Linked DNA regions of Xenopus tropicalis. The protein of the gene in region 1 purifies or fractionates together with the protein of each later gene. This does not show direct contact. Links are inferred from orthologs where the notes say so. Each region holds a gene or a part of one and is shown in the gene's direction. Other genes may lie near its edges. The genes, in order: dnajb11 and sdf2.

The links.
Region 2: the proteins of dnajb11 (region 1) and sdf2 purify together in Homo sapiens (affinity purification with mass spectrometry; 3 studies listed by BioGRID and IntAct, counting the BioPlex papers as one, with this or other methods). This does not show direct contact. The link is inferred for Xenopus tropicalis from reciprocal best matches to the Homo sapiens genes DNAJB11 and SDF2.

What each region holds. Positions count from the first base shown.
Region 1 is NC_030685.2:43,612,384-43,629,197, reverse strand, and holds part of dnajb11 (dnaJ homolog subfamily B member 11), read left to right. Parts: intron 1-9,228; coding exon 9,229-9,388; intron 9,389-16,814. UniProt on the Homo sapiens protein: As a co-chaperone for HSPA5 it is required for proper folding, trafficking or degradation of proteins.
Region 2 is NC_030678.2:34,441,702-34,459,031, forward strand, and holds sdf2 (stromal cell-derived factor 2 precursor), read left to right. Parts: upstream 1-6,524; 5' UTR 6,525-6,559; coding exon 6,560-6,731; intron 6,732-9,681; coding exon 9,682-9,878; intron 9,879-10,055; coding exon 10,056-10,343; 3' UTR 10,344-10,630; downstream 10,631-17,330. Other genes in the region: protein KIAA0100 homolog, read left to right, coding at 16,571-16,638.

The sequences.
Region 1 (16,814 bases):
GGAGGTAAACCGGGTATATAGGTAAATAATGGCGATGCACTCCCATGGAATGTCTCGGCGACGTTCAGGTTTATGTGGAGATCTCTCAAAAACCTTGAGCAAATGGAAGCGAGACCGATGTGATCTGGAGAAGGCATCCATCAAGGTGGTAGAGAGGATAGTTGAGAAGATCGTAGTCTAGAGGCCCTGGATCTGACTTTGTTCCATAATGGAGACAGCTGGGGTTGCGAAGCAGTCAGAGATGGGGGGTCTCGAGGACAGAGAGCCTTGGCCTTCCTCCAAGTTAGCTACCGTATGCTGTCTGTTGTAGTTAAAGGCTAAGCAAAATGGAAAAAGCCAACGATATTGGATATTTTTCTGTTGAAGTATCGTGCAGATCAGACCTATGATATTTCTTTTTTGTAATGTAGTGGGAGATAGATCTGCGTATATCTGGTAAGGATGGTCTTGAAAAACTAGGTTGGTAGCTTTCCTAGCCGCCATCAGGATTGCGACCTGGGTTTGGTGAAAGTGCAACCGTAAAATAATCTCCCTGGGTAGGTCGTCGGGCCGTCTAGGCCGCAGGGCGCGATATACCCTGTCCATTTCAGGGACCAGAGCGTGTAAAAGGTTTTGTATAGTGGCTGGTAAATCTATGATGGTTTCGGGTAGACCTCGAATTCTCCCACTATTGCACCTGGACCTGTTGTCTGCGTCCTCAATTTTGTCAAGGACCTCTTTAAGTTGGGCCTGAAGTGTAACAATGTCTTGTTCATGAGATTCTATGACTGTTATAACATCATCTATTTTGCCTTCGGTATCTGCAATACGTGTGCCAAGGTCTGCGACTTGTTTGGCGAGATCTGCGGAAATCTTAGTTGCTATTGCGTCTAGCTCTTGTTGCAGCATAATTTTAAATTTGCTTAATAGTACCTCATCCGAAGATCCAGACTGTTCTCCCTATAAAGGTGAACTTCCCAATGGGTCATCAAATAAGCTACCTTGCAAGGCCATCTGTGGGGAGCCTGGAGGAGACACAGAGGCTTCAGGCCTATTAAGGTACGCAGTTACCAGATGGTTGCCTGTGAGTGGAGTTGAGGCTACCTTAGTCCGTTTATGTTCCGACGGGATCTCTGGGAGGCCATATGCTGTCACCGAAAGATAACGGAGCCGTGGGTGAGTGGGATCGACCAAGCTGAGGGGATATTTAGCGACCGGAAGCTATTAAGTGCTAGGGCAGTGCAGAGCCAACTCAAGGTGCAACCATCTTGTTTGGCCCGTGCATGCGCTATTTATGTAAGCAGCGATGTACAGTAGAATAGATTAATACAAACATGGTGTTAAGGTAACAGATAAATACAGTGGGTGACCCTGCAATATAAGTGCAATATAAGTGCTTGTTCCCAGATCAGGTGCTGTGCGAGTGCTCCAAGAGGTAGTCTTTAAGTTTAGTTTTAAAAAGACTAAGGGAGGATTCTCTCCAGAGGAAATCGGGGAGGGCATTGCAAATGTAAGGCGCAGCAAGACAGAATGATTTAATGTGGGAAACAGCAGTAGTAGTAGCGGTTGCTCTGTGAGGAACCGAGAAGTCAGCCAGGAACATATGGAGACACAAGAGAAGAAATGTAGTGAGGAGCAGAGCAATGGAGAGCTTTAAAGGTTTAGAGAAGGAGTTTATAAGATATTCTTTGTTTTATGGAAAGCCACAAGAAGGACTTTAGCAGGGGAAGGGCCTGAACTCTCCTGGAAGACAGTAGGAGAATTCTGGCAGCAGGGGGAGAGATGGGAGTTAGGGAGGCTGGTTAGTAGCAAGTTACACTAGTCAAGTCGGGATAAGATTAGAGCATGCATGAGCAGCCTAGCTATTGCAGTAGAAAGAAAGGGACAGATTTGGGCAATATTGCTTAAGAAAAAGTGACAGGTTTTGACAGTGGTGTTAATATGGTCCGAGAAGGAGAGACAGGAGTCAAAGATCACCCCCAAACAATGTGCCGAATCAACAGGGTTGATGAGTGTGCCATCGATAGAGATAGTAAAGGGGAAATAGGACCAGGCATAGGCGGAAAGATCATTAGTTCAGTTTTTGTTAGGTTCAGTTTGAGGTGGTGTTGGTTCATCCAATTGGAGATAGCTAGGAGGCACGCAGTTAGAGATTTGAGTCTCCGTTTCATCTGTTAATGAAGGGGTCGAAAAATAAATTTGGATATCCTCAGCATACAGATGATATTTAAAGCCAAATGAACCGATAAGATCTCCCAAAGACAGTGTGTAGAGGGAGAACAACAACGGCCCAAGTACAGAGCCTTGCGGTAACCCCACATTAATTGAAACTGGAGATGAGAGTTTGTTTGTATATGAGACAGCGAAGGATCGGTTAGAGAGGTAAGAAGAGATCCAGGATGCAACCTGATTATGGATACCAATCGAATGCAGAATTTGCATCAGGAGGGAGTAGTCGACCGTATCAAATGCAGCCGATAGATCGAGGAGGATAGTATAGAAAAGTCAGCTTCGTCTTTGGCAACCTGAAGATCAATTAATCAGTGATGTAGGCTAGTATGCAGTTGTACTCGCTAACCAGGGTATCCGGGTCAGACATCTCATTAAAGGAGGAAAGACTTGACCTGAAAGAATGAGCTAAGGCTGGGAGGTATTTCGAATTCGAGTTAGAGAGCAAGTTGGGAAGGAGGGTGAGAGATAGAAAATGTAACCAGGTGATGGTCAGAGAAGGGGAAGGGAACACTGTTAAAATCAGAAAGGGACAGATCTTTGGTAAAGACTAAATCCAGAATGTGACTATCATACTTATGAGTTGGAGTGTTTGTCCACTGCTGGAGTGCAGAGGAGGAGGTTAGGTGGAGAAAACGTGAGGGCCAGGGTTGCGAGGGATCAATGTGGGAGTTTAAATCCTCAAGGATGATTACAGGGCCATCAGTACAGAGGAACAAGAGAGCCAGGTTTCAAAGTCAGAAAGGAAGGTAGCAGAGGAGGAGGCTGATGGGGCCCTGTAAATGACAGCCAACCGTGCAAAGAGGAGATGGAAGATTTGAAGGGCATGCACCTCAAAAGCGTTAAAAGATAAAGCTGGAGAATTAGGAATAGCCGTGAACTGACACAGGAGGAGAGGAGAATTCCACATATGTGTGGGTCTCCACGTATGGACAGTAACCGGGGGACAAAGATATTGCAATTAGTTATAAAACGTGAAAGAGCTGGAGTATGTACATAGAGGAGGATATGTGAATGGAATATGGACAGACAACGGGGGTTAAAGGAAGAGACTACCTTAGGGAGTACCATTAGCAGGTGGGTTGTAGTCTTGTAGCTTCCGAAAATGGCAGTAGCAGATGGGTAGGTTCCTCAATTATGACAAATTATGATGTGGCAATAGTAATTTCTTAGTTACATCACCTTCATCCATAATTGCTATGGCTGAAACTAGAGATGCAATAGTGCAAGAACCATAGCTATTTTCAGGTAACCAAGCATAGGCCCATTTACCACACACAAAGTAGTGTGGAGATTTTAAAGTTATTAAACCATCATTAAATATCAATTTGGACACCGTTTTAAATTTCTGCACCAATCATTGCCATCTCTTTTTTGAATAAATTCCAACATTCAAGTTTAGATAAATTATTAATACCTTCCCCTGTAGGATAATATATGTATTGACTTACTTGTTGTTGTGCTTGTAAGACTATACTAAGGCTGATCGTTAGTTTCCATGTATTACGTTTCCTTTCTAAGGCTTCATTAGTTTCTATTTTTTATCCAAATATTTCTGAATTCTCCCTAAATACAGTTGATCCCAACTGTTGGTTCTGTTAACAGTAATCAAAATTGGTTTGTGATTACTTTTGCTTCCAGAAGTCTCCAAGCTTTCTCTTTTTTCCATTGTGATATGTTATATTGTCAGTATTTAGGAAAATAGATATAGGAAAAGCCACCATTGGTAGTTGTCAAGAGTCTTTTGGTCTGATTTAAAACAATAATTAGTTTAATTATTCTCTTTTGTAATGTAAAGTTTTGGTTTGTTATAAAAGTGTATTTTACTCATAGTGAAATCTACCAAACCTAGGATTAGTACCAGTAGAAGGTTAACCATGATTATCAGGTATGTTTGCCTTTTTACAGTGATTATCCAAGTGTCTTTGCTGTTCAGTTTTACTGAAGTAGGTGTTACCATTTGTACTTGTAGTGGACCTTCAAATTTGGGGTCCAAGCTTTTTCTGACTTGTCTTTTAACCACTACCCAGTCACCTGGTTTGAGATCATGAGATCCAGTAATGTTGTTCGGATCTGAAATAGAATCAAAAACATATTTGTGTTTTTTATTCAGTTGTGTTTGTACAGCAGCTACATAACCAGTCATATATGAATGTAGAGCTTCTAGCTGTTAGGGAAAATTACAATCCTGTTTTTAGATTTGACCCGAACAATATTTCATAAGGTGATCGTTTGTGAAGGCCTATGGGAGTAGTGCGTACAGAGAACAGGGCAATTGGGAAGCAATCTACCCATGATTTCCCTGTTTTCTCAGAGATTTATTTGTTCAGAACACCACTGCTCTGTGAATAATGTGGAGTGTGGAAAGATTGCCTGATCCTGCATTGCAGCCAGGACCTGTAGATCGATTGGCCCCTTGTGGTCCCTCTGGCCAGAGGGCTAGTTAGTTTTACTCTTAGTCTTTTGCGCCCTTTGCTAAATTTGCATAATGGGAGTGCCCTTTGTAAATTATCTAGTATAAATAAATTTGAAGCAACTGGACTTGTTTAGTAATCATTGAAGACGTTTCACTACTCATCCGAGCAGCTTCTTCAGTTCAACTGACTGGTATGGGAAGTCCTCAGCATATATACTCTTCCACTAATCCAATCACAATGGCACTATGTAACTCTTCAGAAAGGTGACATCTGAAACTCACAGAGGTGTGAATGCTGTGGAGTTACTTTGAAAGGATTACCAAAGTATCATGCAACTCTTCAAACAGGTGTTACTTGTTAGAGTTGCATGAATGGATGTGTGAAGAGTTCTGAAACTGCCGGGGTACAGATGTTAGAACAGCATTGTATGTAGCAGACAGATGGTGTCGAAGTCCCCCGCCTCTGTTAAGGGATGGTTTCTCCACTTTGACATGAATGGCCTCTTTTACACCTCTTTCAAACCAGCGGTCTTCTTTGTCCAAAATTTGGACATTGCTATTTTCAAAGGAGTGTCCCTTGTCTTTTAGGTGTAGAAAGACAGCAGAGTCCTGGCCTGTAGTGTTCGCCCTCCTATGCTGAGCCATTCGCTTAGAGAGCAGTTGCTTTGTCTCACCAATGTAAAGGTCTGTGCACTCCTCGCTACACTGGACTGCGTATACAACATTGCTTTGTTTTTCCTTTGGTGTTGGATCCTTTGGGTGTACAAGTTTTTGTCTCAGTGTGTTGCTAGGTTTGAAAAACACAGGGATGTGGTGTTTGTTGAAAATTCTCCTGAGTTTCTCCGACACTCCTGCTACATATGAGATGACTATATTGCGCCTTCTCTCTGCCTCAGGACGGTTATTCCTTTTGGTGTTCCTGTTGGGCTTAGTTGCTCTTGTTTTGACAAAGGCCCAGTCTGGGTAGCCACAAGCTTTCAGTGCTCCTCTGAGATGTTTACATTCCTTGTCCTTGGACTCTGTATCAGTTGTTACACTTTCCGCCCTGTGGTGTAGAGTTCTAATGACACCCAGTTTGTGTTCCAGCGGATGGTGGGAATCGAACAACAGATATTGATCCGTGTGAGTGGGTTTCCTGTATACTTCTGTTTTCAAGATACCCCCCTCTTGAATGGATATCAAACAGTCCAAAAAAGCAAGTTTGTTCTCATGGACATCCTCCCTTGTGAACTTGATATTGTTGTCCACTGAGTTAATGTGTTCTGAAAAGGCCGCCACTTCGTTGGATCTGATTTTAACCCACGTGTCATCTACATACCTGAACCAGTGACTTGGTGTAGTTCCATTGAATGTAGGGCCTTCCTTTCCACTTCCTCCATATACAAGTTTCAGAACTCTTCACACATCCATTCATGCAACTCTAACAAGTAACACCTGTTTGAAGAGTTGCATGATACTTTGGTAATCCTTTCAAAGTAACTCCACAGCATTCACACCTCTGTGAGTTTCAGATGTCACCTTTCTGAAGAGTTACATAGTGCCATTGTGATTGGATTAGTGGAAGAGTATATATGCTGAGGACTTCCCATACCAGTCAGTTGAACTGAAGAAGCTGCTCGGATGAGTAGTGAAACGTCTTCAATGATTACTAAACAAGTCCAGTTGCTTCAAATTTATTTATACTAGATATACCATGACCTGGATGAATGAAAATCTTCATAGACCCTTTGTAAATTGTTGTTGTCTGACATTGCTCTGTTCAGCCAGTGTGAATGATTTTGGAGGCAGGCAGTAGAAACAAGACAGGACGAACATACAGAAGGGGATTGATGAAGGAGGTGCTGGTTTGTGTTAGTAGAGGTGGAAATCTGATTGAGGATGGACTCTACTTAGTTTTTAACGAAAACGGCAAAGTCCTGGGAAGAGTGCATAAAGTTGGGAAGCAGAAGAGTATTGAATATAGAAAAACAGGCGTCACTGGTTGGATTTATTATTTTTTATAAGGGTATTGTAGTACTCCCGTTTAGCCTTTGAGAAGGCAGAGTTGAGGCATGACAATAGGAGTTTATAATGGATAAAGTCGGCTTGTGTACAGGATTTCCTCCACATATGTTCCGCAGACCTTGTACTGGAGAGTAGGAATTTGGAGAGGAGAGACTGGACCTGAAAGTTTGAGACTGAAAATGTAACCAGATGATGGGCAGAGAGGGGGAAGAGGGGATACTGTTAAAATCAGAAAGGTACAGATTTTTGGTAAAGATTAAATCTGGAAAGTGGCCATCCTTATGAGTTGGAGTGTTTGTCCACTTCTGGATGATTGCAGGGCTGTCAGTAAAGAGGAAAAAAGATAGCAAGGTTTCAAAGTCAGAGAGGAAGGTAGCAGAGGAGGAGGCTGATGGAGGTCTGTAAATTACAGCCTCCTGTATAGAGAGGATGGACGATTTGAAAGGCATTCACCTCAAAAGAGTTAAATGAAAAAGCTGGAGGAATAGGGATAGGTGTGAACCGACAATTGGAGGAGAGAAGAATTCCAACTGCCCTACCACATGGTCCGTTGGGTGTGGGAGAATGTGAGACCACAATGACAATGAGTGCAGCCTCAGCCTAAAGGCAGCATCCAATTCTGGATTGAAGGTAGTGAGCATTCTATGTATATGCTTTCTACACTTGCTCAAATGCAACAGTCAAGCAGCACTTAGTTACGTTACACTTGTATCATACTTATGGAGCTGTCAACTCTCCAGGTTTCTTTAAAAGTTTCTAGAATTTTTGGCGGGATGCAAGGTCTCCCGAAACTCAGGTGCCTAAGGTTTGACGGCTCTGTACTTTACCATGATTTTCTTTATTAACTCCATGTCACCAGATTCCTATCCCTTTTTATAGAGAAGCTTGATACTAGACACTGTATTGGGGGTGGGGGTGGGCTTTTAAAGCTTTGGAGAGGGTCATTCTGATTGGAGTAGTTAGGCAGGCTATACCCAGTAAGTTTTGATATGGAGTTGGCCAGGAAAGGAACATCACGGTAAGATTTACAGTGAGTATTATCTTGCATGCCCTCTGTATTTAATTTTTTTAATTATTCTGTATGCATTTATTCCTTGTTTTAATTTGTTGTGGTCAAGTTTATGTCTATATATCTTCTTTCCTAGCTAGAATGCCTTCAGATGTAGTAGCCATTTGTTTGGCTCCCCGCTGGCAACCAAATAAATCCACCTACCAAATGAGGATTGCCATGTATTTACTGTTTAGATTACCATAACATTTTTCTTTACTCTTTGCATAATACTTCATATTTCTAAAATTGCTAATCTGCTCTTTGTCTTTGGTGTTTGATATTTATGACTCTTGTCATTGCGTGATTATAGTTGAACTGGGGAGACTGCAACATGTACATAGTAACGTATATATTGAAAGTGGCTATAAAAATGAAACGGTATCACATGATAACATTAAATGTAATTATTTGGGAATCATAGAATTTCATTACTAGAGGAATTCTAATTCAACCAAGTTTTAAATGTGGATGCACTCTGATACACAGCTTTTTCCTCTTCTCTGATGCAAGTAAAGATTATGCTCATAATCATGAAGTAGGAGGAAGCGGCTACCCCATGCTAATTTATTCTTAGAGCGTTCTGTGTTAACATATGCATATCTCCTTACACAATCTTCTTAGATATAAGTTAGCTTTGTTGCACCTAAATAGAAACCACTTATAGCAAAGCACCGATAGCTCCCACCTACCCCAAATGCAATCCGTTTTACTTACACAAGTTAAGGGAACACACGCATATCTCACTCTTCTCTCCTCTGTTAGGCCCCTTTGCTTCATCAGAGGCATTAGCCATTATACATTTGAACACTATTTTTTTTAAAAATGGTAATAAATTATGCAAATAAATTATGCTAATTATAAATGGACATATATAACACCTACAATTAAATTTTTTGTATAAACTTGTAATACATATAACTGGTGTCAAACTTTAAAAAATAGAATTCGAAACAGCTAACTTTATCAAATTTTGTTGGTTTGAATATTCATAACATATTTGATATTGGCTTGCTTGAGAGAGCACTTGTTATATTTTCATTCATATAATAAAGTGTTTCTGATATATTTATATTTATTTTATGTATATTTTAAATTGTCATTTTTAATTTTTAAATATATAAGTGGAATTGTGCAAAATACTAAGTTGAATTTCACAAAATTTCAGGTATCTTCCTTAGTAAAGTCCCAGGAAACGCTACTAAGTTTAAGCTAAGTTTAAAGGCACAAAATTAGTTGCCATTAATTGCAAATGTCCATAAATTAGCTGGCAATGAAAAGGTTAAATAAAAATAAATTATGAAATCAAGTGTAACACTTTTTCAGTACAAAAAGACTTTGACACTTTGTACTTTTTTACCTCAAGAATGACCATCTATTTCCTAGTGTAATATCAGTCTTATGCCAGCAATAATATAATGGAAATATAAACCAGAAAATTATTGCACTAGCACACTAAGAAGGTTTAGTGCAACACAGAAGTTATTCCTATCTTTGTTATAGGAAAAAACTATATTTTAAAAAAAAATTAAGCCTTTTATTTTATTTACAGGTTCACATATTGCGGGATAAAATTACTAAGCCAGGAGCAAAATTGTGGAAAAAAGGGGAAGGTTTGCCAAACTTTGACAATAACAACATAAAAGGTTCTTTAATTATAACATTTGATGTTGAATTCCCAAAAGAACAGCTAACGATGGAGCAACGACAAGGTATTTTTTTTTTCTTTATTTTCTGCCTTTGCTAGTGATTTTTGAATAAACAAATGTGGGATTTATCATAAATGCACATTACAGTCTGTTTTGTATTTTCTTTTTATTTACACTGGAAAATTTAGACTCTAGTAATGAATTTCATATTAATTTATTCTTACAGTATACTAAACATATTTTAGCCTATAATGCTAAAATGATATAAGTATGTATAAGAATTTCCAAAAATGTGTGTGCTTTTGTAGGAGTAATAATTTTACTAGGAGTTCTTGCATAGCTTCCAAAAGATTACGGAATTGCATAGTTTTAAATGGCTATTAGGAATTTTATTTGGGCAGATTGCCCTTGACTAATATTCAAGCTACTGTTTACAGAGCTCGACTATTCAGCTAGTAACTGACTATTGATCATTTAGCTTCAGAACAGAAACAAAACAATGCAGAGGATAGAGCCATTTACCATTTTGAAGCCTTTGTCTAGAGGCCACCTCTTTCAAATTGCAGTCACTCTTTCAAAAATGACCACATTATATTTTGTCTTTTTTTTTTGTTTTTAATTTCACCGAATTTGTCTACTTGATAGCCCAAGTTAGACTGGGGGATATTGGGGACAATATTAATAAATAACTAATACATTTTTAATATATCTTTTTAAATTGCCTGTTTTTAATTTTTTTTTTTTGAGTGGCCCTTCAGATGTTAGTATTCCTTGACCTTTGGAGTCAAGACGGAAGAATCAAAGAGGAGTCCTCCTTCTGTATAAGGTTGTACTCTGCCTACTGAGTTCAGTTTTCTCTTTTGTCCTGTCTAGAAGGTAGAGGACAGATACTACCTTTCATAGAAAATGTAATTTTAGATCTTGGGAGGTTATGCTGATTGTCTGAACAATTTATTTCCCTCCTTATTTGAAACAATCTAGCAAGCAGAACTCACATGAGGCTGTAACATGTTTAATATTAGTTAGGTTACTGAGAATCAGAGGGTGCAGCCCTACTGCAATGAATCACCCAACTGGTTTCAGTAATGCAGCTCACTTAGGCGTTCACATTTTAATGGACTAATAAAGATGCTGTTTTAATTTGGAAGGTTTGGAGTGCTTGGAAGCCTTTTTTCGTTTATTGCAGTAATGCAGCTCTAACTAGTAAATTGGATGTGAGGCAGATTTTGTTATGCTTTTTATTAGGCAACCAATCCGAATGTTAAGGCCATGCTTCTTTGGGGCAGATCCAGATATACCTTTCTGCCTAACACACACTCCCCATAACTACTGGACTCTTTGCAGTGTCACTTTAAGCAAAGCCACTTTAAATCCTCACTGCACAATTTCAAATATTTCATTGCATTTTTTTATTGTAAATACTTGTACCTTTATTGCACACTTTTATTATATTTAATATTTGTATTTTTTTATTTTTTTTTGTCTATGTAAAGTTGGGAGGAACACGGGTCAAAATAATTTCATTATAGTAATGATGCTTCATTGTTATTTGTATATGACAATAAAACTGGAAACTTTCATTGTACAAGCAGAGTGCAACTTTTTGCACAGCTTGTTATCCTGCAGGGATATAACTGAGCAGTACATTGTACATGACAAGTAATGCCGGAATTTCCAGGGCTACGGTACCACACAATGCTATTCAGTAAGTGGTAGCATTTCCTGTAACTTCTAGTGACGTCAATTCAAGCCGATGGCTGGTGGCACTTTCAACGCAGCACTCTTCATAGCGCACATGACATCATGCAAGATGTGCCTGAAACAGCTTCCTAAACCCTAAGAAGGCCCTTACAGGAAAACCATCACTGAGAAGACTGGACAGCTAGGCCACTGAAATGTACTGTTTGCAGATGTGTCCTGTTTATTTTAATGAGAAGGAAAGGCTAATAAAGAGTTAATCTCAAGCTGCAGGCATACCTTCAGTTGTCTCAATAGTGCCCTTAAGTCTCCCTATATTTTACCTGTTCAGATGATCAGTAGCCAAACAGGAAGAAAAAACTCTGAGCTATGTAAAGAAAGTTCCCATAATGCCTCTTGCACCGAGACCAAGTGTACATGCTCAGTTTGTAAGACTATGGGGCACATTTACTAATCCACGAACATCTGAAAAGCGTCCGAATGCGTTTTTCCGTAATGATCGCTATTTTTTTGTCACCATCACGACTTGTTCGCGAATTGTCGCAACTTTTTTGTCACCGTCGCGGAAAAATCGGATTGGTTTTTCCGCCATTTACAATTGCTGAATACGAAAAAATCACGATGGCGACGAAAAAGTTGCGCAAAATACGATCAAGTCGTGACGGCGACGAAAAAATTGCGCAGAATACGAAAAAAACCGTGGCAACGAAAAAGTCGCAAAATTTTCGTTTCCAATCCGATTTTTTTCCCATTCGGGATTCAGATTCGTGGATTAGTAAATGTGCCCCTATAAGTCTGCTTCCTGCTGATTGGCTCAGATCCACATTCCTAAGGGGGAGTGAGTTCTTAGCATTCTTGAGGGAGGGGGGGAGCAGGAGAGGGCAGAGAGCTGCGTGTCTCTGGCACAGTGCATCGTTTCTGTGAGTGCTTATGGCTTGTATTTACATAGACCTCTCTGGTAAAGCTTACTTAGTTTTTACCTTTCCTTCTCCTTTAAAGCAGGGTACCAGGTTCTTAATGCAGGGAGTTGCCAAAAGTCTCACAACCTCTCAAACCAATATTGATATACAAACTTTCTGGATTGGATTAGGTCAGCCATTCAAACCACAATAAAACATGCTGGGCGCCTACTTAAAAGAATCAATTACTGCAGCAGTTTGAAACTGACTCCAAATTCTTTGAGAGTAGTTTTGCAGTAGGTTCTGTATCAGGGGGACTCTTCCACAGACAACAGTTTACTATAACTTGGCAAGACACGACCAAGAAATTATTAAAAGACATGCTAACTACATTAGAGATCAAGGATGAACAGCGATATTTAAAGTTCATGGAGTCTTGGGGAAACCATCCCTGTCCTTAAATCCATTTCTCAACTATTTGATAGTAAATAGCCAAACCTGACTGGGTAATAGTCCTAACAGAAAAGTTCTGTAACATGTACCCAATCCCAGACAAGACACCAAGGGTTATATTTATCATACGGTGTAAAAAGTGGAGTAAAACATTACCGGTGATGTTGCTCATAGCAACCAATCAGATGCTTTGCTTTGATTTTTAACTGTTGAAATGTAATTGCTGATTGGTTGCCCTGGGCAACATCACCGGTAATGCTTCATTACACTTTTTGCACAGCATGATAAATATATCCCCAAGGGTAGATGCTATGATTGCTTGCCTGTCTAAGAACACCTTACCAAAAGATGATGTAGCATTCAAAGATTCCATAGAGAAGATGATTGAGTCCACCATACAGAAGGGCTTCTTGCAACTTCCATACATAGACCAACAACTGCTTCGGCTGGACTAGTACAGTACAACACTGTGCCAGGAACTTTTAAAAAACCTGATTTTTTTTTTTTATTGTAAAGCAAACAACAAATAGGACAAAATAACAGAAAATTTCAGCGTGTATAACTGTTCACCCCCCCCCTAAAGTTAGTACTTTGTAGATCCACCTTTTGTGGCAATTACAGCTGCAAGTTGCTTTGGATAAGTCTCTATGAGCTTACCACATCTTGCCACTAGGATTTTTGCCCATTCCTCAAGACAAAACTGCTCCAGCTCCTTCATGTTGGATGGTTTTCACTTGAGAACAGCAACATTCTAGTCTGGACTTTGACTAGGCCATTCCAACACATTTAAATGTTTCCCCTTAAACCACTCGAGTGTTACTTTAGCAGCATGCTTTGGGTCATTGTCCTGCTTGGAAGGTGAACCTCCGTCCCAGTCTCAAATCACAGGCAGACTGACAGGTTTTGCTCAAGAATATCCCTGTATTTAGCACCATCCACCTTTCCCTCGACTCGGACCAGTTTCCCAGTCCCTGCTGCTGAAAAACATCCCAACAGCATGATGCTGCCACCTACATGTTTTACTGTGGTGATGGTGTGCGCCAGACATAGTATCGTACTTGGTGGCCGAAAAGTAAAATTTTAGTCTCATCTGACCAGAGCACCTTCCTCCATACATTTGGGGAGTCGCCCACCTGCCTTTTGGCAAACTCAAAACGTGCCTTCTTATTTTTAACATTAAGTAATGGCTTTTTTCTGGCCACTCTTCCATAAACCCCAGCTCTATGGAGTGTATGGCTTATTGTGGTCCTATAGACAGATAATCCAGTCTCTGCTGTGGAACTCTGCAACTCCTTAAGGGTTACCTTTGGTCTCCTTGCCCGGTCTGTGAGTTTTGGTGGGCAGCCCTTTCTTGGCAGGTTTGTTGTGGTACCATGTTCTTTCCATGGTGCTCCGGGGGATCGAACTTAAGGTAAGAACTGAAGCAAGATAGGTCAATGGGAAGGGTCTTCGTCTTAGTACACTTAAGGTCCAGGCATCAGCTGTGACAGCACTAACAGTTGGGCTCTAGATCCTTTAGTCCAAAGGTTTTTCAATGCTCTTCATGAGAGTGTCTGCCTAACCATGATTTTGACAGGGTTTTGTGGCGGAGCTCTAATGGTTGCATGTGCTCACATTGGTTACATAGTTACATAGTTACATAGGGTTGAAAAAAGACCTGTGTCCATCAAGTTCAACCCATCCAAGTAAACCCAGCACACCTAACCCACACCTACCAATCTATACACTCACATACATAAACTATAAATACAACCACTAGTACTAACTGTAGATATTAGTATCACAATAGCCTTGGATATTCTGATTGATCAAGAACTCATCCAGGCCCCTCTTAAAGGCATTAACAGAATCTGCCATTACCACATCACTAGGAAGGGCATTCCATAACCTCACTGCCCTCACCGTGAAAAACCACCTACGCTGCTTCAAATGGAAACTCCTTTCCTCTAATCTAAAGGGGTGACCTCTGGTGCGTTGATTGTTTTTATGGGAAAAAAGAACATCCCCCAACTGCCTATAATCCCCTCTAATGTACTTGTACAGAGTAATCATGTCCCCTCGCAAGCGCCTCTTTTCCAGAGAAAACAACCCCAACCTCGACAGTCTCACCTCATAGTTTAAATCTTCCATCCCCTTAACCAGTTTAGTTGCACGTCTCTGCACTCTCTCCAGCTCATTAATATCCTTCTTAAGGACTGGAGCCCAAAACTGCACTGCATACTCAAGGTGAGGCCTTACCAGGGACCTATAAAGGGGCAAAATTATGTTCTCATCCCTTGAGTCAATGCCCTTTTTTATACAAGACAGCACTTTATTTGCTTTAGTAGCCACAGAATGACACTGCCTGGAATTAGACAACTTGTTATCAACAAAAACCCCTAGATCCTTCTCCATTAAGGATACCCCCAACACACTACCATTCAGTAGATAGTTTGCGTTTATATTATTTCTACCAAAGTGCATAACTTTGCACTTATCAACATTGAACCTCATTTTCCAGTTTGCTGCCCAGTTTTCTAATTTTGTCAAATCGCTCTGCAAAGCGGCAGCATCCTGCATGGAACTTACAGTTTTGCACAATTTAGTGTCATCAGCAAAAATAGAAACAATACTGTCTATGCCCACCTCCAGGTCATTAATAAACAAGTTAAACAGCAAAGGCCCAAGGACTGACCCCTGCGGTACTCCACTAACCACACTGGTCCAATTAGAAAATGTTCCATTTACCACCACTCTTTGTACTCTATCCTTCAGCCAGTTCTCTATCCAATTACAAATATTATGTTCTAGGCCAATATTCCTTAATTTGATCATTAACCTTCTGTGAGGTACTGTATCAAACGCTTTAGCAAAGTCCAAGTAGATGACATCAACTGCCATTCCAGCATCAAGGTTCCTACTCACCTCCTCATAAAAGGCAACTAAATTAGTCTGGCAAGATCTGTTACGCATAAAACCATGCTGGCACAAACTAATAGTATTGTGCATAAAACCATGCTGGCACAAACTAATAGTATTGTGGCACAAACTAATAGTATTGTGGTTGTCAGGCCATACTCCCATAACCTGCATCTTTTTACTATTAATATACTTTAAACATTTCTTTGGGGTTAGTCTTAGCCTCTGCCCCAATGCGCTCCTCTTTCTCTATCTCTCCCTTCTGGATCTCTGTTTACAACATTTGTCATAGCGTTTATATTCATTAAATGCTACTTCTGTCCCCTCTGACTTCTAGTTTTTAAATTATTTCTTTTCTCCTAAACGTACGTAAAGTTTATTTATTATATATATTATTTCTTTAGGTGACAGGTCCCCTTTAATATCATTTTGAATGACAGCAATTTCTGTTCTGTTTGTAGCAGAAAACATAATTCCCCAATCTGGGCTCTGAAGGACAGCCCTTAAGGAGTTAAAATGTGCTTTACTGAAATTAAATATTTGTTTGTTATCTTTGTGTTTTGCGCCAAGTAATTGTATCTTTGTGTGTCAAGTAATTGGTTACAAGAATATGTTTGAGTATTGGTAAATATTGTTGAGAATGAGCTACAAAATGTATCCCTTTTTTCTACAGGATTTTTAATGGAATGGATTTTTGTTAGGACACTATGGGCCTGATTCACTAAAGTGCGATAAAATATATTGCACGTTTTTTTGCGTTAAATAAGTCGTGATAATTAGCGTGCGATTCACCATAGTATTATCGCGTGCGTTAAGTCGCCATTTTCGCATGCGGTATTTTCCTCGCTACTTTTAATGCATGCGTTAATTTTTGCGCTGAAAAGAATACGATCGCATGATTCACAAACACTTAGGCACGCTAAATATCGCATTGGTCTATGCGAAAATTAACACCTACTACAGGCAGGGGAAAAATTATAGAAAGTACAGTAAATGAGTTTTTGGCAATAAAATATGGACTTACAGTGTTATTTATTCAAGTATGTGTCTTTTTACTCAATTTGACTAAAGTCTTGGCATGTATGGAATTTCGCTACTAATATACAGTACTATAGATATAAATATTTATATAGATATAAATATTTAGTCGCACAAAATACATTACTATGTATATTTTGGCGATTTCTTTGTCGCGACTTTGTAATCTCGCGACTGGCGGACATTTTGTAGCAATTTTGTAATCTCGTGACATGTGCGACTTGGGGCCATTTTGTGTCATTGAGTCTGCAGTCACACTGAGAGGAGTATCATGCCTGGGGTTTCTGATCTGCTACCAGGGGAGAGGCGCTATATTGTCACAGTTCTCCTACGCTCATGATATGACAACCCACCGCTGGGGCCCTTAGGGGTCCACGAGAGGAAGAGAGCCATCCTGCGTGACCTCCAAGCCAGGTTGCGCGGGGGCTTCGGAATTGAAGTGGACCTCCGCCAGCTCCAGCGCCTATGGTCTGACCTGAAGCGTAGGAATTCAGACCTGGTGG
Region 2 (17,330 bases), on another chromosome or scaffold:
CCCTTATGTTAAGTACATTTTTGGATTTCTGAAAGACACTTATCGTCAAACCTAAGAAATAAGGAAGAGGAATTTGTTTGATTTACAGACGCATACCCCCTCCTCAGCCCTGGAAGCAACCGTGGACTTGGGGATGGGACAAAGAACCAACAGGCATAGATGTAAGCAGTGTCACCAGTCTGAGCTGAGGAAATTCACCCTTCAGATATCTTGGCTATGGGCTCTGCATGGCATTTTGTGTGGGATTTAAATTAATCAGACGGGTCTATTGCAGGTATTCTTAACCTATGAGTCAGGACTCCACTGTTTAGGGTAGGTCTCAAAATGCATACCTGATTGTGAAATATTATTTGTGCCACAAATTTAATTCGGTACTCGTGAAAAGGGTTAAGAAATGCTGGTCTAGTGGCATCAAGTTAGAATATCAAATGTAAGCCAAGAAAAGTTGCAGAATTCTGCATCTTTAATAAGTACATAAAGCCCAATCACCATGTTAGCACAGTCAAATGGAAAGCAGATATTGGTTTTTCATTAAATGCAATATAGACTTTACACTGGTTCATAGAAAACAAGATGTTATTGAGCTGTATTGCTCTTATAAATTGTAAAAAATTATACACAGTGTCCTGACACACACAATAAAAGCACAAGTGCCACTGTCCCATACAAGGCAAATCTATGTTATGCCCCCCAAGATAATTTACATGGCCCCAGCTGCATCCTCACCCCTGGATCCTCACCCCTGGCAGCGGGGAGCTGGAGTACGCAGCAGGGGTGCTGGGAGAGAGAGGACAGAGCAGGGGAGCTAGGAGAGGGAGGACGCAGGAGCGGGCAGTACTTTGACCCTGGCCCCCTGTTTATAAAGTTTGAGGACCCCTGATTTAAGGCAATATAGAACAAATGACAGACAAGTGAGTTTTACAACACTACAAGGAATTTACATCAGATGCCAATATAACTTAACTTAGGCCTCCCAATAAGGCCCCTGTGTAATCATAATCCGATGAAGCATCTCATTTTGCACAACACCCAGCTATAGATGTAGGGTAAAAGAGGTCTTTGTAGATAGATATTTGTATCTCTTATGTTTCTGCCATTTCCTTGGTGTTGGATAATTATTTCATAATATTAAGAATGTGAATGATAGCTTGTTTCAATGAAAAAAAAATCTGAATGAACACCAAAAAATCTTTTCAAATCAAAATGTCTTTATTGTACAAGATGGACATTTCTAAGTAGATATAACAATGGTTCAGGCCAGCCTCAGCCCTTTAAAACCTTGCCACTGAAACTGGTAACCTTATAGCCCTATTAATCCAAACCGGAGCTAAAGCTATAGCCTAAGAGGATTCACATATATCAGGGATGCCCATTCTGCAACTCCCCAACTGTTGTGGGGCCAAAGACAAATCTGGGGTGTGCTGGAAGTTGCAGTTTAAAATATGTTGCAGTGGTTAACATTGCTGTCTTGCAAAATTGGGGCCCTAGGTTCTATCCCAGTCAGGGCACTACATTATCTGCAAATAATTTGTAACCTCTTAGGTTTGTGTGGGTTTTCTCTCGGAAACATACAGGTAGGTTGACTGGCTCATGATAAAACTGATCATAGTGAATATGATAAGAAATAGATCTTAAGTTCCACTGTGACTGATGGGAACTGAATAAATGATGTACCATCTCTATAAAGTGCTGATAAATATGCCCCTGCCTTATAATTACTGAAGCAGCTTGGGAGGTGCAGGATGGCTACTATATAGTGAAAATAAGCTACATAATAACTGTATCCTTTCTCAGGTTTATCTTCAGACTTCCCTTTCGTGGCCCTTTAAACCTGGGCCTGATTTTCGCTTTTTGCCGTATTTCCCCCAAGAGGGCCATACTTAGCAAAGTGTTTACGGGCTTTATTGCACAACGAAAACGAGCCCATATAATCGGACTCCAGTACATCCACGCCACTTCTGCCCACGCAAACACCCCAGATGCCTCTCCAGTGGGGCTACGGTGCGGGCCCCCACGGACAAGGTGGCTGAGGCAGCGCTCTAGCACAAGATGCCGGGAAAGCCTTACCTGCTTTGCTGATAACTATCCCTCTCCCGATGTAAGGCTAAAGCGCTGCCGAGCTGTCTCCTTCTAAAACTGCACTCCTTTCTGAAGAACTTGTCCAAAAATGGAGGAACAACTCTAGCGCAGAACCTGGCGGATAGAACGCAGAGCAGGCAGGCGTGAGGTCACTTCCGGCAGCCGCTACCACCGCACTAGGCACACCAACACTCCGCTCTTCAATTGCGCATGCGCCGACTATAAGCGCAGTAAAGTTGTTGGCTAACAGAAATCGAATTCCTTACTGCTTTGTTCCACGGTTCTTTTATCCATACTAGATATCTATTCGTGTTTGGCTTCTTTTGGTTATCCCCCAATGCGTTTCAGGCCTTCAGTATAGTTCTGAGAACAACGACGGCGCACCTGCTGATACAAGACTACATCTCCCAGCATTCCTCGGTAGGACCATGATAATCATTATTACGCAACACCTAGCGTACAGAACAGCCTGTACTTTCTCTCGTTTGTTTTGGCGTTCAGGTTTGAGCCAGTCAGTGCCCTTCTTTCCATGGCCAATCGCATTACTTCATTCACTAAACCATTTGTCAGAAACTTTTCCCAGCAGTAGGGGTTGAATTATGTGGGAGCATTTGTTGGATGGCCTCCCATAATCAGATAAACATCTGTAAGATATCATATTATATATCATGTAACATACGATGGAACCTTAAGTCCCTTGCTTTTGCATGATGTATATACAGTATATTATAGTACATATATTATTGCATAGTCTGTTCATAAAAGATCACAGTCTTGTGTAAATTTGCTACAGGTGTAGGAGAACATTTTTGGCAGTGATATTAGGTTATGGTTCATATTCGGAAAACCTGGTGTCTCATTTACAGTATGTGTTTTTGCATGTATTTAATGCAACTTTATTCTGTCCTTAGTTCAAGTCTGGATGGAACATTGTGCTCAGTGGCTAGAAAAAAAACTGAAATGAAGTGAGAGGGAAGACAAAACACATACATATTGTGCTGCTCTCTATTTCCTTATGATGCATAATTCCTTTTTTGGGGGGAAACTGTTGCCAATACTTACTACATTTGCTGGAGACAATTCCAGTAGTTCTTTTACTGTCAGCAAATCTAGATGTTTAACAAAGCCTTTTTTTTTACAAGTAACAGCAAGTTGAGTGCATTTTTAAGCAATTATTAAAGTGATAATTTATTAGGAAAATGTAAAGCCTTAAATCAGAAGCTAATAAATAATATCAATAATCCATAGAATACAGAAGACTGGATTGAGGAAGAATTAGGAATTTAGGTAACATCTGATATAGTTCAGAGCATACACTGTAGATTTTGTGATATACCACCCATAAATGGATTGGTTTAACTTCATCTAGAATCTTATTAACACATGCGAAAATTCAATTAAATTACACCCAGGGAAGAAAACATAATTTGGTAACTACAGTTAATTGTGGTTCATCCAGTGAAAAGTATGTTGCCAGTAGTAAAAAAAATTCTCTTCTCAATCAGCTGATGATAAGTGTTGAGCAGTATATTTTCTTTAGGACTCAAAAATGTACTGCTTTGAATGATTGATGGGCACAGGTGATAACCTGCAAAAGTGCCGTTGCCAGTAGCAGCCATTCATTTTTGTTTTCATTTTCCAATTTATAGGAGATTGTTCAAAGACATGTGTAACTGCATTGGACCAATTTAGCAATTATACCTGTAAAAATCAGCCCTATATTTGACATTGCTTCTGGGGGTTTCAGGTCAAGCAACAGCTTAACTAGTGGGTCTGATCTCGTAAAAATACAATAGCACATGCATACTGGTAGACAAACAAATAACTCTACACTCAAGTATGGTGACCTTTTGAAAGGACTTACTAAAAGTATGCTGAGACAAGAGGATGGATAATCTAAGACCTCCAGAATCTCTCCCTCAGAATATACACCTAGATATAAAGTAATTGAGCTGTACATATTTGATCAGCATATTGTTTCCCTTTCCAATTTTTCTGTATTGAATTTGAAACCCTTTCCCAAATATTTAAAAAACAAATTAGTAGAGCAAAACTGGACAAGATTGTTATCCCTGATATTGATACAATGATATTATAATTTCACATATAAATTAGTTTGATTTTAAATGTATTTATCATTTCTAAAGGTGGCCATACACAGACCGATTCTAGCTGTTGATATCGTCCCTTAGACCGATTCACCAGCTTATCGGCCCGTGTATGGGCACTACCGACAGGCCTGCCCAACCGACATATGGCCTGAAATCAGGCAGATTTCTATCGAACATGTTTGATTCTTCGTCGGATCAGGGACTGTTTCGTTGATGCAGTCCCCGAACCGATGGGCGCCTATTCCTGCTGTTTTAATAAGATTGTTTGGCCCCAGGGCCAAACGACTAAATTAGCCCAATATCGCCCACCCATAGGTGGGGATATCGGGAGAAGATCCGATCACTTGGCAAGGTCTTAGTGTGTATGGCCACCTTAAGTCACAGTCCTTGTGACTTTTTTTGTTTTAAGGCCCTCGTAACAGTTACACACATAGGGAAACATTTGTGTATGGATCAGGCAGATATAATTTTAAGAATACTTAGGCTAGCAAATAACTGTTCAACCTGACATCCCAGCTAGGCCTTAAAGGAGAACTAAACCCTAAAAATTAATATGTCTAGAAATGCCAAATTTTATAAATTGAACCAGCCCAAAGTTTAGCATCTCTATAGAAGTAGTAATGATCCAGTACATCAAAGTTGTCACTTGTGGTCACCATACTGGAATCTGTTAGAAGCGTCTGCAACACTCACATGCTCAGCATGTTCTGAGCAGCTTTTGAAAAGTTAAGCTTAGGGGTCACCGCAAAATTTTAAGCAGAAAATGAGGTTTGTCTGTTATAAAGGGTGTGGCAAGGCCTGATTATTAAGTTTGGGTGCATATGCTTTGGTTTTAGAGCTGCCATCTGTAATCTGTATAAACAGCCTTCTATTGTGACATTTGTATTCTATATTTACAGTATATTTTTAGTCAGTCCCTAAGCTCAGTAACCGAAAGCAGCACAGAGCATATGCAATGAATCAGCAGAAACGAAGATGGGGAGCTACTGGGGGCATCTTTAGGGGCACAGCACTTCCCTACTAAAGGGCTGGGGTTGTCTAGGGCTGGTAAACAGGTCCACTACTGCCATGAGGCATCGTAAGAACCTTGCCTTAGGCAGCAGTGAGAAGCCAGTTACTAAGGACGACAAAAAGCCGCCTCTGGTTTTTAAAACAGAAATTTGGCATTGCTAGTGCAACAGCATTCTCTGCACTAGTGATGCAGCCCCTGGACCTGCTCTGACACTAGAGAGGTACGTGCAGAGCAGGTGTGGGGGGGGGGGCAGCATTAGGCTCATTTAGGGTTGCAACCTCTGCCAACATTTTTGCTGGGCAGGGGGCGAGCAGTGACATCACGGTGTGGGAAAGAGGCAGGGCTGTGACATCATGGTGGTGGGGAAGAGGCAGGGCTGTGACATCATGGTGGTGGGGAAGAGGCAGGGCTGTGACATCATGGTGGTGGGGAAGAGGCAGGGCTGTGACATCATGGTGGTGGTGAAGAGGCAGGGCTGTAACATCATGGTGGTGGTGAAGAGGCAGGGCTGTGACATCATGGTGGTGGGGAAGAGGCAGGGCTGTGGCATCATGGTGGTGGGGAAGAGGCAGGGCAGTGACATCACGGTGTGGGAAAGAGGCAGGGCTGTGACATCACGGTGTGGGAAAGAGGCAGGGCTGTGACATCATGGTGGTGGGGAAGAGGCAGGGCTGTGACATCATGGTGGTGGGGAAGAGGCAGGGCTGTGACACCATGGTGGTGGGGAAGAGGCAGGGCTGTGACACCATGGTGGTGGGGAAGAGGCAGGGCTGTGACATCATGGTGGTGGGGAAGAGGCAGGGCTGTGACATCATGGTGGTGGTGAAGAGGCAGGGCTGTGACATCATGGTGGTGGGGAAGAGGCAGGGCTGTGACATCATGGTGGTGGGGAAGAGGCAGGGCTGTGACATCATGGTGGTGGGGAAGAGGCAGGGCTGTGACATCATGGTGGTGGGGAAGAGGCAGGGCAGTGAAATGACTCAGCGATTAGCTGACCACTGCTTGAATCTCAGTGAGTCCTGCCCAATTTTGCAAATTGGGAGAAGGTGGCAGCCCTAGAAATGTTGCTGCTGGTAGAGAAGCTCAAAACATAATGTACAACATTTCTGGCCTAATTCTTCTCTAAGCTTTAGTTCTCCTTTAAGATGAAAATGTAAATTGTCCTACAATCTCACCCTAAATAGGCCTCAGACTGAGCTTTCCTGACAGGGCTCCTAGCCTCCAGGGGAACACAGCAACCCCACTGTTTGGGAAGTCCCCGCTCCCACCTATTTCCAGATTATTTCATTCATTGCGAGTTAGTACTTCCGGAACAGGAAGGTTGCGTTTCCGGTTGTCCACCAGCCGGTGAATGAAGATGACGAAGCCTCAGGATGGAGCCGGCTCTCTCCTGCTGTTTATCACTCCCTTGCTGCTGCCGGTGAGCATTGCCTCTGAGCTGTCCGTGGTGACCTGCGGCTCAGTGGTCAAGCTGCTCAATATCAAGCACAGCGTCCGTCTCCATTCGCACGACGTTAGATATGGTTCAGGTAAGATGAGGGCACATCCCCCAGCGCAAGTGGCACGTCATCAGCGCACCCAGTTCCCTCTGGAGAGGTAAAGTGCCCTCCATGGCATTAGGCGCTGGCAGGTTCCCGTGAGCAGGGTGTTAATGCTTGGCTTAAAGCGACATAGCCCTCTCTGTTTAATCAATGGAATTGAAATATAGTGTGTGCCTGGGGGAGGGAGAGACTGTAATCGCGCAGTCGCTGTCAGTTATATGTACAGTATAGCAAATGTGTATTTAAATGCACACATATATTCAGTTAGGCATTGTCCGTAGGGAGAATAGGACCCCTTCTCCTACCCTTGCTTCATATCTGATATATGGCATTTGCACTGTCACAGCTGAGCTGGTCACATTGCAAGCAGCGAATGTAAAGAGAAAGGGTTTGGGGGTGGTCTTTCAAGCTTTTATTGTTAGTAACTATTTTGTATATGGTAAAAAATACCTTTCCCCCATTTTGTTTCTTTGACTACTTGGCGCATTATTGTTAATGTGTTGCAGACCCTTTTTAAAAAGAAAAAACTTTGAAATACATGAATAGCCCAGCCCCTTCATCCTTGCCTGCTCTCTCCCAAACCCACTTTTGTGACTGCCAAAATGTGTATGTCCATCCTGCCTCTTACTACTCCTACATCAGGGATTACCAGTTTTGGGTGCAGGTGTATAAATCATCAGCAGGTTTGGTATGGGTAAGTGCAGGACTGAAGTCCTTTAACCTGCATAACTATTACTCAAGTTTCCCTGACCTTTAATAAACAGGCTGCAGCCTTGTGCCTTTACATGGGCACAGAACTCCTTGGTAACTATTAATATTCTTATACTTGATATATGTGGTATATATGCCTTTTAATACAAGAGAAATACAGTTCAGTACTTACATAACTGACCCTGCAGTCTTGGGAGGGGGGGCAGTGAGACAGAAGGGCTGCTGAGGACCTGTGAAGTCTGCCCCTAGTGGCCCTGTTCTGCCCCCAATCACTTCCTGTTTCGGCCATCTACCCTGTGGGTAAGCGGGGCGGGCGGGTGCTGACATTCACACCACTGCTCCTTTGTGAGTATTTATAGCCTTATAATTTACATAGACAGTACATATGCCTTATAATGCATTAGTAAGGAGCAGGGGGCAGCATCAGGCCCGAAACTCAAAACATAATGTACAGCATCTCTGGCCTAATTCTTTAGTTCTCTTTTAAGGTGTATCTAAAAGAGGAAATATAAATTGTCCTACAACCTCACCCCAAATAGGCTTCAGACTGAGCTTTCCTGACAGTGCTCCAAGCCTCCCGGGGGAGGGGTCGACCACACTGGGAAGCACTGGTATTTCCATTATGAAATATGGCAGTCACCGCTCCCACCTGTTTCTATATTATTTCATTCATTTAGATTCTCGAGTTAGTACTTCCGGAACAGAAAGGTTGCGTTTCCGGTTGTCCATAAGTCACTGAATGACGATGATGAAGCCTCAGGGTGGAATTTATGATAAATGGTTATGAGTGGTTGTGGCCCTGAGCCATAGTCTTTGCGGGGGTTTGAAATTCATGTATTCACCTATTATGAAATAATTTCAGGAGCGCAATACGTTATAACAAATTTTGTATTAGCTTTATTTGAATCAAAATTGCCTTTACAGCAGCCCCATTAGTTCATCTTTTATTTGGTGTTTTAGGTATAAAAAGCAGAAGAGAAACTATAATAAGATTAATATTCTTGCTTTTTAGATTTAGTTAGTAGGATGTACGTTCAGATTCATATTTTTAGCCTTTTGTGACACTTAGTTCCCCAAATAAATGTAATTTCCTTCCTAATTACTTTCATTTTTCTCAGGAAAATGAAAGTTTCCATAAGCATTTTGTAGATATTTTTGCATAACAGTTTCATTTTCAGCTGTGCAGATGTACAGTAACAATCAGCAGTCTTGCTCTGTGCGTAGCTCCTCCAGTGTGTACTTTAAGCCACTGGTTATAAATAAAACTTGGCTATCACATTTGTAGTTGCTCAGTTACTTTTTCATGATGAAGGCTTTATGAAGCCTTGCCCATGTTAATAAAATAATAACATAAAACATATATCTAAATACATCTAAATAAAGTTGGCCATACACTCACCGATATTAAGTTCGTGCATGGTGGATTGACAAGGCGACCGATTTTGACCAATAATGCCTTAGATATTAGTCGTCTTGTCAATTGGGCTGGACAAAAGATTTTGATCAGGTGCTGTTAAAGGTGCCCAAGCAAAAGCTGCGTTTATTGATGAATTGCCAGATAGGGGTAGAATTCCTATTGGTTTTACCTCCATATCTGACGATTTAGCCCTGAATGTCAGTGGAGGGTATGAACGATCTTTCCTGCAACCAATGGTCGCAGGAAAGACCGTAATTGTTACGTGTATGGCCACCTTTAGCCTCTGTGTACTTAAAATGCCAGGGCCTATTTTGATTTCTTCTCTAGGGCTGGGGTAAATGAAAGGCATTCAATATGCTAAGCTATTCTTCTTCCTCTACACCAAGACATTAGAACTATATTACAGGTATTGAATGATTTATCCGCAAACCCATAATGCAGAAAGCTCCACTCCCTTAGACTCAATTTTAATCAAATAATTAAAATTTCCCTTTTTCTCTGTAAAAATAAAATAGTACAGTATCTTGTCCTAACTAAGAAATAATCTTTATTGAAGGCAAAATACTCCTATCCCTGGGTTTATTTAATGTTTAAATTATTTTTTATTAGACTTAAGGTATGGATATCCAAATTATGTAATGATCCCTTATCCAGAAAACCCCAGGAGCATTCTGGATGTGTAAATCAGAGTATGGGTATATATTTTCACTGTGATATTTATTTTAGGATTGATACCTACACCTTGGAGACACAAATGCTACTGTGCATGTATTTGTTGTGAGACCCCTAACTAATAAGTTGTACATCTAGGCAGCGGACAGCAATCTGTGACAGGAGTCACATCTGTAGACGATGGCAACAGTTACTGGCGTATCCGTGGACAAACCTCCACCGTGTGTGAGAGAGGAAAACTAATTAAATGTGGACAGTCTGTGCGTCTAACACATGTCAACACAGGGCGCAATCTGCACAGTCATCACTTTACTTCTCCTCTGTCTGGAAACCAGGCAAGTCACTGTGACTAACAGATAAATAGCACATCACCATTTCATGTTGTTTTAAGTATAGTTTTGTTAGTAGATTATATGTGCAAGCATTACATCTCATTTAAGCATGTGATCTTGCTTTTTGGGCTGTATATTTTAAGAGTTTGTTTTTATTTTGTTTTTTTATTTTTTTTGCAGGAAGTCAGTGCATTTGGGGATGATGGGGAAGGTGACATACTGGATGACTGGACTGTTCTATGTGGTGGTGAATTCTGGCAAAGAGATGATGAAGTTCGATTTAGACACACATCTACCAGTGTTTTCCTCTCTGTCACAGGGGAACAGTATGGGAGGCCCATTAACGGCCAGAGGGAAGTTCACGGCATGTCATACGCTAACCAAAACAGCTATTGGAAAGTCATGGAGGGTATCTTCATGAAGCCCAGTGAGCAGTCCCGGACACAGAACATTCATACTGAATTATGATGTCACCTATAGAGACTCTGACTCCCTTTCCTTAACCATACAGTGTTGGGATCAATCAGGATTTTCCTCAGATCCTGAATGGTCACTTAAAAAGTTCAGCTCAGAAATATTTTAAATGTGGATTCAAGGGCATGGTTTGTATTGTTGCCCATTCTGCTGGTATTATTGTTTTTATGTCCAGTAAGGAACTGAGGTGTAACACCGGGCACGTCCCTGGAACAAAGTAATTTTTAAATATTTCATCTCAGCTGCTGTTGGATTTGAATACAACATTTTTAAAACAAAAATCTGTGTTTTACTTAAAAGAAGCATGTAACTGGTTACAAGGTTTTCTTATGCTGAAACATGGGGGGGGAAGGACCACTTTGTCAATTGGTGCTGCCTGATTTTTATCTGCCTGATTTTTATCTGCCTCACAGGCTAGTGGGCTTAAAGGACAATGAAAGGTTAATATAAATTAAATGTAAATCTAAATGCATTCTTTTTAAGTACCTACTGCATATCTAAATGCCCAGATCCCTGCTTGCTTCTCTGAGATATGGTGCTGGCAGCCTACAGCAGTGTGAAGACTACAGTGACATCACTGAAATCTCTCTTCCCTTCCTGTAGGCTGTCTTCTGTTCTGCGCTACACATACCCACCAGCCAATCAGAAGCAGATCTAGCAGAGGGGAGGGGGGTGGGCATGAAACACTTGTGCAGTATGAAGCAAGGAAGGAAATGAAGGGAGAATACCTTTTTAGAGATGGCTGCCTGTTCTAGAAAATGTGAAGTAAGTGTGACTGAGTAAGTATTTGATTAGGTGAGCCAAAAATGTGGCGTTTTTACTAAACAATAGGAGGACTATTGGGCACTATGCTTTTTACATTTTGACTTGCATTCTCCTTTAAAGGTCACCTTTAACTTTAAGTGTTTATTTTACCTTTGTATTTGTCTAATGAAAATATTAATATCCAAATGTGCATTTTCCCACTTGTCATATATTTAATGAATGGGAAGCAGTACTCTTTGTTCATAGTACAAAGGCTCATTTATCAAAAAGCAAAGTTACACCTGGGCATAGTAACCATTAGTTAGGGGTTTCAGCCAGCTGCAGGTATGACAATGACATGATTACCCAGGTTCTGTCATTTTTCTAAATAACAAAATCTGCATTCATAACCAAATACTCTAGTATTTTTATGTCAACGCTTTTTTTTTTTTTTTTTTACATTGACAATGTTTTATGTTGGAAAAACAACTCATGGAAAAATGTGCATAAGTATTTAATCCCTGTGTTTTGAAAGCTTTAAGGCTAAGAACCCACAGAGCGGTTGAGTTGTTCCCGAGATAGATCTCTGCTATCGGCAAGCGAGCGGATCTTCCCCCGATATCCCAGCATACGGTTGGGCGATATCGGGGAGCTTGAAGTTAAAAAAAAAAAATAATCCAATCGTTTGGCCCTGGGGCCAAACGACCGGATTATGTAGGCGGCAATGGGGCAGTCAGTTCGGGGACCACATCAACGAGCCGATGCGGCCCCCGATCCGACTGAATCTTTTAACCCAGCTGATCTATATCTGGCCAATTTCAGGCCAGATATCGGTCGGCCAGCCCGCTCGTTTCTGCCCCTACACGGGCAGATAAGCTGCCGAGTCGGTTCAATGGACCTATATCGGCAGCTATTATCGGCCCGTGTATGGGGGCCTTAACACTTTGGTAATCCAAAGTTGCACAAAGTTTCCTCCTACAGGCAACTTTGCGTGAATTCAGAAAACGAAGCAATGCAAAGGGCTTTTCACTGGCAACTCCTATTGTTGCTGGTGGAAAGCCATTTCGGAGTGGTTCATCACATAAGATAGCAGAGATCTATCACGGGGGACTCAACCGCCTTGTGGGTTCTTACCCTTAAGAAACTCACCATCTTGAATACTGTTAGAAGTGTCAGTAGGCGGCTGCTGAGAAGCTAAGCTTAGGGGTTATCATAAATTATCAAACAGAAAGTGATGTCTGCCTGTCATGTAAGCTGATGCTACAGGCCGTTTATTAAATTCTGGTGCTATTTGCACAGATTTATGCACTGCCATGTGATGAGAATCTGAACTAATTTGTAATCAGTCTTGTATCTGGTCTTTTATATTGTAGATATACACTATATTGTGAGTCAGTCCCTAAGGGCTCTGGTACACGGGGAGATTAGTCGCCTGCGGCAAAACTCCCTGCTCGCGGGTGACTAATCTCCCCGAGTTGCCTTCCCCCTGCCATCCCACCGGCGAACATGTAAGTCGCCGGCGGGAATGGGAGACGCGGCGGGGCGATTTCGCGCAAATCGCTGAAAAAGACTTGCGAGGCTTTTTCGGCGATTTCCCCGAAATCGCCCCGCCGCGTCTGCCATCCCGCCGGCGACTTACATGTTCGCCGGTGGGATGGCAGGGGGAAGGCAACTCGGGGAGATTAGTCGCCCGCGAGCAGGGAGTTTTGCCGCGGGCGACTAATCTCCCCGTGTACCAGAGCCCTAAGTTTAGGTAAGTGAGAGCAACACAGAGCATCAGCAGCAAAGATCGGGAGCTACTGGGGGCATCATCAGGGGCACACATTTTCCCTGCTAAAGGGCTGTGGTTACTTTGGGCTGATACAGAAGCCACAGTCAGTGGCCTCATCCACCAAATCTTGTGCACTGACTTTGCATCATCAGAAGATTGGACAGCTCTGATCAGCTAGTTCCACCCTCTGCCTAGTTGACATGAAATACTTTTCACCATGGTCCATCTATCTTAAAGCTGTCACTTGCCCCTGTGTCCAATAGCTCATCTAGAATGTTTTGTTTAGACTTTTTTACCCACTTGGTCAATTTAGTGCCAAAGCATTTTCCTCAGTGTGCAGCGGACAACAAAAGCAGCTATGGGAAGAGAACATACCAGTGCTGTTGCTTGGAGGTACAGGGCATAACACTTTTAATGTAGTCTGTTCTAAGGTACATATAACATTGAGTAACAGGATGGACTGGCTGTGTGTATATGGAGGAAAGCTTGGGTGAAAAAGCAGAGGTGGGAATAGAGAAATTATCAAATGAGAAATTTAAACAACATAGGAGGGATGAAGGAAAAGGGGGACACAAACAGAGCCTGCATACCTTCCATTTGAAACCTAGGTGTAGGAGAAAGGAAGAGAGAAATGTTACAGGAAAAATGGGGGGGAAAGAAGAAATGTCTTATGTGTGTTAGAGAAAAGAAGTTGAATATGGAACAAGAAAGAACAAAGTTAAGCAGAGATATGGAGAAACTGGGACTTGAGGAAAGGGTGGTTAAATTGGGCCATGTGGAGAGGGGAAGGAGACAAAAGGCAGGGCAAAGGGGAAGATAATGCCTGTGCTGAAGACAGGGCAAAGAGAACAGCCTAGTGTGGAAATAGTGCCTTCGGGAAACAGGAGCCAGAAAAAAGAAAGGATGGTAGAATGGTAAGTGTGGTTAACAAATATGTTGAAATAAATAAAAACATGTTTAAAAATAGCTAGTGCACATAGGCGGATTTTCAATAAGGCTTGGGGAGGCTAAGCCTCCCCAAACCTGATTTGGCACCTTAAAACCTGGCTCCGTTTCTGCATTGCCCTGCAAATCTTCTTGGGGTTCTGCAGAAATCAGCTGTGCAAAATCTCCCGATCCCTGTCTGCACCTGCGCCTTGATTGGTCAATTTTACTGCCTGTCAAGAAAGCTGTGCTCTGATTAGAGAATCCACAAGAAGAAAGATCCAATCAGAGCATAGCTTTCTTGACAGGCAGTAAAATTGACCAATCAAGGCACAGATGCAGACAGGGATCGGGAGATTTTGCTAACTGGAGCCTGTGAACTTTGCTGCAGTTTTCATCCCACAGGTACTATACACAAGTAACTATACTGTATATGTTCTAAAGACTGACCCACTAGCTGAAATTAAATTGTTTTTAGTCACCTGACATCTATAATATCCCTATCCCCTACCCTAACAGATGGAGGGTAAGTTAACTTTCCCCCTGACAAAGCTCATTGTGCTTTTATATGTTTGTTATGGTTTTTTGCACTTTCTATTTTTCTTTTACTTTTGTCATTGTTTTTTTCATTCCTAGTTAGTTACAGTGGGGCCAATGCTGTGTATCAGTGCCAGTGTTATAGTGCCAGGGCCTGAATATCTGCCCTCAGTACCCACTGCTTCTCATTATATATGTGTTGGTTTTGTATATAAAGACTGCATCTCGCTGTATATAACGTGCCTGGGATGTCAGTACCTGCTGCCTCTCTCTCTGTAAAGCTAACTTAAACACATCTAAAGGGGAGGTTCACTTTTAAGTTTATTTGTAGTATGTTATAGAATGGCCTATTCCTAGCAACTTTGCAATTGGTCTTCCTAGTTAATTTTTTATAGTTTTTGAATAATTTGCCTTTCGCTTCTGCCTCTTTCCAGCTTTCAAATGAGGGTCACTGACCAAAAAGTATTGCTCTGTGAAGCTACAGTTTTATTTTTCCATGCAGGCCCCTTAACTATTCATATTCCCATCTCTTGTTTAAACCACTACCTGGTAAATAAGACCCTAGCAACCAGATAGCTGCTGAAATACCAAATGGAGAGCTGCTGAACAATAAGCTAAATAACCGAAAAACTATTAAAAATAAAAGCTGACCAACTACAAATTGTCTCAGAATATCAATGTCTAGATCATGTTAAAGTTAATTTAAAGGTGAACTACCCCTTGAAGCTAACTGATCACAAACACAAATGTATAGAGAACCCCCAACAGAAGAGCACATATGAATACTTTTACATCCTAAGCATTTTAGGGTTAAAAGCACCCCCACCCGCACTTTTGCGCAGTATCCCTGGGAGTCAGTGGGAACCGCAAGAGGTAGTTGGGAAGTTAATTTTTTACACCAGCAGCGAATCCACTAAGTCTCACATTAGCTGTAGGTCGGACTGTGTACGGCCCATATTTAGCCTCCCCAAACAAAAAAGTCACCCTCCGCCTATGCTAGTGCAGAAAATAAAGGAAGCAGCTGTGTAACAATCAGGGAAACATCTATTAAAATCCTCCATAGAACATATTTAGTTCCAGCCAGACTAAATAACTTTACTTGCAGTCCACAATGTTTCAGAGGCTGTGTAGAAACTGGAACTATGTTACATATATGGTGGGATTGCAAGGTTGTTTTAGAATTTTGCCTTCTCTCAAAGATTTTCCATACCTAGTTTCCCAAAGACCCCCGAGTACTACAACTACCTTGAGAGTATACTAACTGTGCTCACAGACTGAGCCAACATATATTAATGGCAGTGAGACTAATCATAGCTAGCAACTGGAAAAAAAACAGGCTCCCGCTAAACTAAAATAATAAGCATAGTCTTCAACGAAAAACTTTCCTATATGTTAAAATGACATGAAAGCTTAAAATAAAATGTGTTTCCTTTTGCCAGCCCATGAAAATGATCCCCAGTTTTTCTGGCCCTTCATGCCTAAATCACCTAACCCCCTCACATATATTAAGAACTACAGAACTTATAGATCAGTCATTTCTCTTTCAACAATACCAAGAGTTATATTTATGTTATATGTTTACAATGGTTACTTTTTTTCTCTTCTTCAGTACTACTGATCAACAGCACCATTAATGCAAAAATCTGCGCCAAGCCATCTGCCATATGTATGCCAATAAAAATCAATAAAAATTGTTAGTATATAAAAAAAACAGCTATTGCAAATACTGTAGCTTTCCAGAAATGCGCATTTCATTCCGGCAAGACTAATAGGTTGCATATTTGGCTTTATTAAGAGACTCCGACAAGGTCACTTCATCTAAAGGCTGTCACGACACGTAGTTCTACAATAAAATAATGACGGTGAGGATGAAACCAAGTAGACATACACCGACGCAACAGTAATACACGATATCTGCATCAGAACGATACGATGAACCTTGTAGTTCTTATTGTTCTACCAGCAGGTGGCGCGCTTCCTTTTCCAGTTGTAAGGCTATTAGCGGTGCGGCTGTTCCGGGATAACACAGTGCCCGCCCCCAACTCTCCAAGTTCTGCGGGTCACGTGACGCTGCTGGTCCTCCCTGTGTTTTCTCCCCAGTCACTCGCTTCCTGTACTCACTCTGGGTTTCAACTCCTCCTTCCAACTCGGAGGGGGTGGTCTCTCTATGGTTTCCTGAAGCTCCGTGAAACTGACAGGAGCCGGTGTGCCGGGTGTCGGTACCCCTGGTTCCTGGGTGGACGCCATGCCGGTGATTGTTGCAGTGCTTGCGGTGTTGGTGCTGCTGGCTGTGGGAGCCCTGCTCCTGGGAAGGTGAGAGAGCCGCATTTTCTGGCCTGGATGGCAGGTGGAACTGTCAGACGTGGCACCTTATTCCCACAAGTGCTTTGAACTGCTGTTGCACCCTGTGGCTCTTTAGGTGTTTGCTGCACCTCAGCTGACTGTCAAGCAAGGGAGAGAGTTGCAGTTCAGCAGCGTTTGTGGTGGCACATAAGTGTTGGGAGCTGTATTTGTGATGCTGAATGGTAGAGAGTGATGGAACTTAGTTACTGGGTCCCCTTAGCAAAATACAGTTAGTCCCCACTAAGATTTGGGAATATGCTTTTTATAAATATTCATTAAAACTTCTTATTGGTCAGTGTCCCACTAGGCCCCCCTATACCTACTGGCCCCCCACCACCACCACAAGTTGTACAGTCTTGTATTTGGACCTATTGGGATATGGCTTCACAAATCTGTTCCTTTACATTCATACTGCCACTCTCATGTGACTGACTATAAATCCACACTCAGGACTTCAGACTTCAACTTCTGTTACTGGGTTATAGTGCCACTAAATCTGTGCAGTGAGATCTAGCTGACAGTAATTCAGGTCAGCACCAGCCCTTATTAAACGGATTTCTTGCTATTGGTTAGGTGCAGCTGTATGTGAGGTGTTGTTGGGTACTGATGACAGGGAAATTGTGGTTGAATATAAGCTGTAAACTGCACATCCCATGAGGGGG